Macaca fascicularis: one gene and its partner. The protein of the gene in region 1 purifies or fractionates together with the protein of each later gene. This does not show direct contact. Links are inferred from orthologs where the notes say so. Each region holds a gene or a part of one and is shown on either strand. Other genes may lie near its edges.

Region 1 (4,275 bases):
CACCAAAGGGACTAAAGTCATAAGGAAGAAAAGCATACACTGGTTTTCTGGACACTCCCCTGGGATTATAAACACACACCATGCAACAATCACAGGCACCAGCTCCCAGCAGGCACATGATCGTCTCCCTTGCCACTCCTGAGTGCTAACCCCAGAGATATTTGCAAACAGGGTGTGTCCTGTCAAAAAACCTCACAGGAAAGCAATTATCTTCCTCCTGACCCAGGAGCCCAGGGGAGGAAAGCGAGGCTGGCAGGCTAGTGAAGATTTAAATTCTATGCCAGGCTAGTGCTCCCGCACAGCACACAGTGCTGTGGTCAATGCAAGACAAGCAGCGTATTACAAAGGAAGCCAGGTCCCTGGAATGCATGTGCTATTTTCTGTCCTGAAAGAGACATGGAAGTAGCAACCTCAGCTCTCCAGGTCCTTTTCCACCATGGGGCCTGGCTGGCGGCTCACTTGATTATTTCTGGGAACGATCTAATTAAATATTAACCACGTACAAAACCTCATTCTTACATTCCTCAATAAGTCACTGTGAAGACGAGCAAACCCAGACAATGAACTCAAACTCCATCTTTCCAGAAAATGGGGCCCTGGAATAGGTGAGTCCTGTGACATTCACCCATTACAAAGTTATTCATTGTAAGTGGCCCTCTTAGCCTCTGAGAAAAACCCGGAGCAAAACAAAACAAAACAATCCACCTTCAGCAAGGCGCCTGTAATCCCAACACTTTGGGAGGCCGAGGTGAGGCGGGTGCATCGCCTGAGGTCAGGAGCTCGAGACCAGCCTGGCCAACATGGTGAAACACAGTCTTTACTAAAAACACAAAAAAATGTGGTGGTGCATGCTTGTAGTCCCAGCCACTTGGGAGGCTGAGGCAGGGGAATCGCTTGAACCTGGGAGGCGGAGGTTGCAGTGAGCTGAGATCCTGCCACTGCACTCCAGCATGGGCAACAGAGACTGTCTCCAAAAAAAAAAAAAAAATCCACCTTCTTGTGTATCAAACCAACCACTAAAATGTGTGGTTGTATCAGAGATTATCTCTTTGACACTCAGGAAGGTTGCTCTTGATTTCTTATCATTTAAGAGTAAGATCAATGAAGTTGGTCCTTCACATCCCATCTCCCCCATGTAGCAATCAGACCTCTTTATACCTCCTCAAGGGCACGAGAAAAAACTCAGTGAATAAACAAAGTTTCTGACAACATCCAGATCTGTCTGCCAATTAAGGTTTTCTCCCTGTGATCTACAAGTTCCTGGCACAATTAATTATATATTGGTGACTTTAAATTAAAAGCCATACCTTTTATTTTTTTTAATGACGGGCTATCCTGGCTGAACCAGATGATGGTGATGATGATCACAAGGATAAATTGATAATTTGCAGCCAGGTGGGTTCCAGCACCTGGCATTTCTAAAGCCTTGATATCCTCAGGATTTATTATCGCTTTCTGGGTCAATCCCAAGCACAAAGGTTAGAAGGTGTCCCTGAGTTCTCTCTCATTTCAAAACGAAAGCTGTTGCAGAGTGCATGTGCTAACTAGATGTGAAGGCAACCGCAGAAGTCATCGCTCTCTGCAAGGACAAGTGGGACGGAACTTGCAAATAGCCGCCACAAACGCAAATGTCACCAACCTGCTTTAGACAGAGGTGGGAGGGATCCTCTGGCTTCCTTTATCTCTAGAGTAAAGTTTTTCAGCCATTTCAGTCTTGGTTGACTTATTTTGGCAAATAAACAATTTGCCCCCCTCTACCGCCCATCCCCCAAGCCTGAGAGCACTTCAAGAGTTTGTAAAATAAAAAGCAACAGGAAACCAGAAACGCAGCAATGTCTCCATCGTGGGTCTCCGGCACAAACACAAGTACAAAACGCACACCCGCGCCCTTATTTAATTTTAAAGCCTTCCCAGGATAGGCATCATCTGGAAGAGATACAGGCGTGGGAGGCGCAGGAAGGGAGCCCCAGGAAGTTTCTGTCTGTCGGGCGCCGGTATTTAATGAGGGGGTGTGCACCTATTTATACGTGGGCAGCGCTCGGGCAAACAAGTCTGGCGACAACGAGCAGCTTTTCACCCAGCAAATAATTGGAGACTGGGCAGCTCTGGGAAGCCGCTCACGAGAGAAGAAAGCTGGGAGTTTAAGGAATTTCCTTTAAGGAAACTGCCCGTGGGGACATCGGTTTCAGGGGGTCGGAGACGGGGGCGGGAGCCGGCAAGGAGCGGTACTGAGGGCGGGGGCCCCAGTCGGGCCGCGCCGGCCCCGGGAGCACCTGGATCCCCAGACCCCTAGACCCCCGGCGCGCTGGGCTCGCGCACACCCAACCCCGGCCCCATCTCCGTCCCCCGCCGCCTCAGCTCCAGCGCTCCCGGCCCGCGCACACCCTGACCCCGGCCCCCTCAGCCCCGGCGCCTCTGGGCCCGAGCGCCCGGCGGGAGTGGGGAGCGCGGCTTCCGGTTCACCTGCGCGCCGGTCGGCTCGGGCCGCGGAGGCCGGCGAGGGGCAGCCGCGGAGCTCTCGGAGCGCCCGGGCGGACACAGGCCCTGCCCCCACGCTGTCCCCCGCCCCTGGCCGGCGCCTCCCGGGCCCCAGCGGTTCGCGCGTGAGGGGACAGGGACGCCGCTTGCCCGCCCGCCCGCCGCCCGCTCGCCTGAGTCTTGTCGAACTGCTCGCGCTCGGCCTCCAGGCTGTGGCCCGGCCTGCGGCTCAGCACCCGCGCCGGCACGTTCTTGATGCTGTTCATCCTGCCGCCGCCGGCCGCTCTTGCCCGGCTCAGTCCGCGCGACTCAGCGCCTCACGGTCCAACAGCCCCAGCCTAGGCACCGCGAGGCCGCCGCGCCGCGCCAGGGCCCGCCCGCCGGGGAGGAGCCCACCTCGCCCCGCCCCCGCGCCCGCAAACTCCTCGCCCGCCCCCAACTCCAGGGCACGCCCCTCCCCCCGCACACCTCCAACCCCGCCCCCCGCGCCCGCATTCGCCCCGCCCGCCCCCAACTCCAGGGCACGCCCCTCCCCCCGCACACCTCCAACCCCGTCCCCCGCGCCCGCATTCGCCCCACCCGCCCCCAACTCCAGGGCACGCCCCTCCCCCCGCACACGTCCAACCCCACCCCCAGCGATCCCCGGACACGCGCCTCCCCCCGCACACCCCCAACCCCCCAACCCGCGGCGACCCCGGCACACGCTCCGCCCCCCACACACCTCCAACCTCCATCTCACAAGGTTGGGGCACAGGCCAAACGCCCCCCCCAGCTCCTCCCCACCTCTAATCCCCTCCCTAAACCCGGAGAGGAGGGGAGAGGGAGGGGAAACCCCTCCCTCCTCCTTCCACACAGGATAGGGACCCCGGCCAATTCCCTCTCCCAACCCCTTCCCCGAACTCACTAAGTCTTGTCTGCACCAAGGCAAGATCTGGTTAATTGGAGAAAATCTGGCCTCCATGAGTCTGGTCGGTGGCAGCACAGATAGACTTTTTTTTCCTTTTTGGTCTTAACGTATGTGTCAAAAGGCACACAGTGACGCTCTCCCCTCTTTGTGCATCTCTGACATAGCTGCAGCTGTTATCCATGCGGGGTTGCAGGATGCATTTCCAGAGACGCAGCCGGCTCCGCAACCGGACACCTCGCCAGCGCCAGGGACAATGGGGGCTGAGGCCGGGCAGTATTAGGCTGGGACAGAAGGCAGGCGGATCTGAAAGCAAAGTACACCAAGGAGATGCCGCCGGGGGTGGCGTGAGGCTTTTAAAAAACATTATTATTGGCTTCCCCTTAAAATTACTGGTCACAAGACTGAAGTAAAAAAATAAATAAAAGCCCAGAGTCCTCTCTAAGCGCAGCTCAGATGGGTGTTTTGTTTCTGCTGTTTCCCTTTCCTATCGGAATGCAGATGTGGAATCGTGCATAAAGGTCCCTTGCTTTTGAAGGGAGAGAGGCACCGCCTGCCTGTAAGGAGGAAAATGACGCCCACGTAATCCTAACCCTTGTCTCCTTAGTGAGACTGTAACCTCAGGACCCTTTTGTTTCCTTTCTTTCCTTTCCTTTCCTCCCTCCCTCCCTCCCTCCCTCCCCTCCTTCCTTCCTTCCTTCCTTCCTTCCTTCCTTCCTTCCTTCCTTCCTTCCTTCCTTCCTTCCTTCCTTCTCCTTCTTTCCTTTCTTTTATTTTCTTCTTTCTTTCTTTCTCTTTCTTTCTTTCTTTTTTTTTTTTTTTGAGACGGGGTCTCGCTCTGTCACCCAGGCTGGAGTGCAGTGGCCAGATCTCAGCTCACTGCAAGCTCCGCC
Region 2 (3,516 bases), on another chromosome or scaffold:
TATCTGTAGTTTAATAAACTCTCCAAATGTTTCTGATGTTAAAGTTGATAACCACAATCTCACTTGAAAACAAGTTCTCAAAAAAAGTTAAGAACTAAAAGAGCCAGGATTCAAACCAGAATCTGACTTTTAAACTACTTTAAGCCACTCTGAGGTAAAAGACAAAACAGGTTTAGAAAATGTCAATTATTTTACTTTACCCCACAATATTATATTTCCATGTTAAGTAGCTTAAATTAGACAACAAGATTATTAAAGTTAGTGTGGTGGGCTTCAATACCAAGAAACCTGGCAACTAAACTGTCATTATGTTCCAGATTACAGAGTTTAAAACCAGGAAACAGATATGACAGATGTTTAATATCCAATGAAATGGTATTTTAAAATATACATCATACCCATATGTCAAAGAGCTATAAAGGGTCTTGAAGCATTAGATGTCTCATAAATGTGTTTAATCATAATTTTTACACAATAAAAAGTTTGCCCAGAGATAACAGCTATATTCCTATTAGCATAAATCAGTGATTTAACTATATTTCATTTCCTAAATAAGTAAAATATAAACTCTCACCACTTTATCTTTAGGTATTATACCAATATCACCATTTATCGCCACCTCTTTGTGTGAATAGATTATAAAAGTATAAATAAAAGTAAACCTGAAAATTCCTGCAAAATTTCTATTAGAAGTGTTTGAACCTACGTATTCAAAGGTAACCTTAACTTCTACTCCTACCTGTTAGAAGAACTAGGGGTAGAAAATATGTCAATGGCTGGTGCAGTCATTATCCCTCCTGCTGAGGTGGATACAGGAGAGGCTGCAGTTGTTAAGGAGGTATGAGGTTTCTTTGCAAGTTCCTTTAGGCGCTGTTCCTGTTAAGAAAGGGAACTACCATAAGGATTCCAGAAACTAGATTTGTTTGTACAACCTCTGAAAAAAGCATTTTCTAATTTGTTCTGATAGCAGATATTCTGTTTTACCTAATTCTATGTCACGATGAAAAGTCAGACTGAGTTTCAGCCCATTAACACTATACATTTAAGACTCTGTGCAGAGGCCCCATTTACCTAATGAACACCTGTACTCATTTTTCCAAATATGGAGAATGCACAAACTTACCTTTAAAGCTTTCAAACGTGCCTGTTCTTCCTCTAATGCTGCCTGCTTTTCCCTTTCATCCACTTTGGTCAGAGATAGACCAGTGCTTGCCAGGGAAGACACTGCATTGGAAAGTGTAGTTGCCCTAGGATAATTGAACAGAGATAATTTGGCTTTTTGCTAAACACTTCACATTACACCCAGGTCAGGAAATGGTCTGGCAACCTTGCCATGGATAGGCACTATAATTATAAACTTAACTTCTGGATTCAAATCCAGTACTTCAGATGAAATATTCCACCCAGTGATCTACGGGATTAGAGCAATTAGAAAAATCTTGACTTACATATACACTCACTGCTTTTAGAGTAAATGTTTGACTTTGGAAAGGGTTCACAAGAGAGTGGGGCACATTGCCTCTTCCAAGCTCCAAGAGGGGAAACCAATGCAATTGGGAAAGAGCCCACATACTCCCACAAAATCCCTGATGGGAAAAAGTGTTGACCTTATCACAGTGAAAACCCTCTGCTAATTTACAGCCTACGTTTTGGCAGTGCCACAGAACACCAAAACATGCATACCAGTAATACGTAACGGAGGTCTAGGTATGTTTCACCTATAACAACATCCCCAGAGGACTTCAGGTTCCTTCAAAAGAAGACTAGTTTCAATCTAGTCACCAGGTCATCTGGCATCTTTCTATGTGCTGCCCTTTTGCCAAACTAGAATTTCCTTTTTAATATACACATACAATGTATCATCTTTTACTGACAAGCCATCTCCTTTCCCTTTTATCAAAAAAGTATCCACATTATAAACCTCAACATTAACTTTCCAAATGTTAACTCTAGGCTAAGTAAAACAAGTGGTAAAGAATTCTAACCTGAAGAACTACCTTGAGCTTTATTTTCCTTTTACCACACACTAATCATCATTAATTTCTACTCTAAGCATGTAAAGTGGTAAAAACTCTTTTAAATTTTACATAAAATAGTATTATAAATAAGCCAATAAAAAGGTACAACTCAGAAGACAAAGGAAGAGTGACATAGTTGACAGAAATGCAAGAAAACCAATACATTTTATGATAAACATTTCAGGTAAACTGGTACACCTGAACTACATGGCTTTTTTCTTCATTATTCTCTCAAATAAATGAGACTTATTGTTTTGACTGCTACTTCGAAAATCCTACTAGAAAATTCAAAGTACAAATCTAGGATTAAAAATAAGTACTAAAATCTAATAATGGCATTTTCCGTTGAAAATAATTTAAATTTTATTACTAAAAGAAAGACTAAAGTTCTGAAACAATCAGAAAGTCTAAAAAGAACCAAAGGAAAGTTCTCACCATACAAATTCTTTCTTCATGTTGTTTTTAAAAAAGCTTCATATGAAAACATGAGAGTAACTCAAGTAATTTCTTAACCCAATGCAAAAATCATGTTACCAGATTGATATGAAATGATGTGTTACTTTCAATTTGCGAGGTTAACTGGTCTTAGTCTGAGGAATTAGCTTAAAACATAATAAAGTGATTAAAATATAAAATATCAATAATCAACCCCATGAACTGGCATTAGACAGAGATGATGCAATTTGATGTCAGATATTCTAGGTTTGAGTCCCAGCACTGCTACTACATGCTTCACAGTGCTATTGTTAGGATTGAGCAAATTAATACAAAAGTATCTTGTAATTACAGGCCCGGCACGGTGGTTCATGCCTGTAATCCCAGCACTTTGGGAGGCTGAGGTGTGCCGATCACTTGATTTCAGGGGTTCAAGACCAGCCTGGTCAACACGGTGAAACCCTGTCTCTACTAAAAATACAAAAATTAGCCAGGTGCGGTGGCATGCATCTGTAGTCCCAGCTACTTGAGAGGCTGAGGTGGAAGAATCGCTTGAACCCGGGAGGTGGAAGTTACAAGTGAGCTAAGATTGTACCACTGCACTCCAGCCTGGGCAACAGAGTGCGATTTTGTCTCGGCGGGGGGAAGAGAAAAAAAAAGTATCTTATAACTATAAAGCATCATACAAAACAATGCACTATCATCTTCAGGAGAACTTTTGACATCATAAACACAATTCTAAACTATGCAGTCACTGTCATTATCTTAACAGATGCTGACATTTATTGAAGGTCAGAAACTATTTCAAGAATTTGCATGTATTAATCCATTTAATCCTGATACTAATTCTATGAGGTTGATATTATGATTAAACCCATTTTATAGAAAATCAAATCAAGATAAAAAGAAATTAAATAGCTTGGAACTTGAGCTGATTTCATCTACTCCCTCAGAAAAATCACTCTTGATCTTTGTCCTACAAAGAATGATGTACCTGCTTGCAGCTGTAGAATCTTTGATTTTCTTTCCTTCCAAGGAAGCTAAGTGTTGTTCCAAAGCATCA

What was found. Proteins that work in one complex are often made in the same cells at the same time.
Region 2: the proteins of HIP1R (region 1) and PICALM fractionate together in Homo sapiens (co-fractionation; 3 studies listed by BioGRID and IntAct, with this or other methods). This does not show direct contact. The link is inferred for Macaca fascicularis from reciprocal best matches to the Homo sapiens genes HIP1R and PICALM.

Annotation. Positions count from the first base shown.
Region 1 is NC_088385.1:129,950,420-129,954,694, reverse strand, and holds the start of HIP1R (huntingtin-interacting protein 1-related protein), read right to left. Parts: upstream 2,808-4,275; 5' UTR 2,745-2,807; coding exon 2,652-2,744; intron 1-2,651. UniProt on the Homo sapiens protein: Component of clathrin-coated pits and vesicles, that may link the endocytic machinery to the actin cytoskeleton. Binds 3-phosphoinositides (via ENTH domain).
Region 2 is NC_088388.1:85,049,550-85,053,065, forward strand, and holds part of PICALM (phosphatidylinositol-binding clathrin assembly protein), read right to left. Parts: coding exon 3,448-3,516; intron 1,248-3,447; coding exon 1,124-1,247; intron 877-1,123; coding exon 740-876; intron 1-739. UniProt on the Homo sapiens protein: Cytoplasmic adapter protein that plays a critical role in clathrin-mediated endocytosis which is important in processes such as internalization of cell receptors, synaptic transmission or removal of apoptotic cells.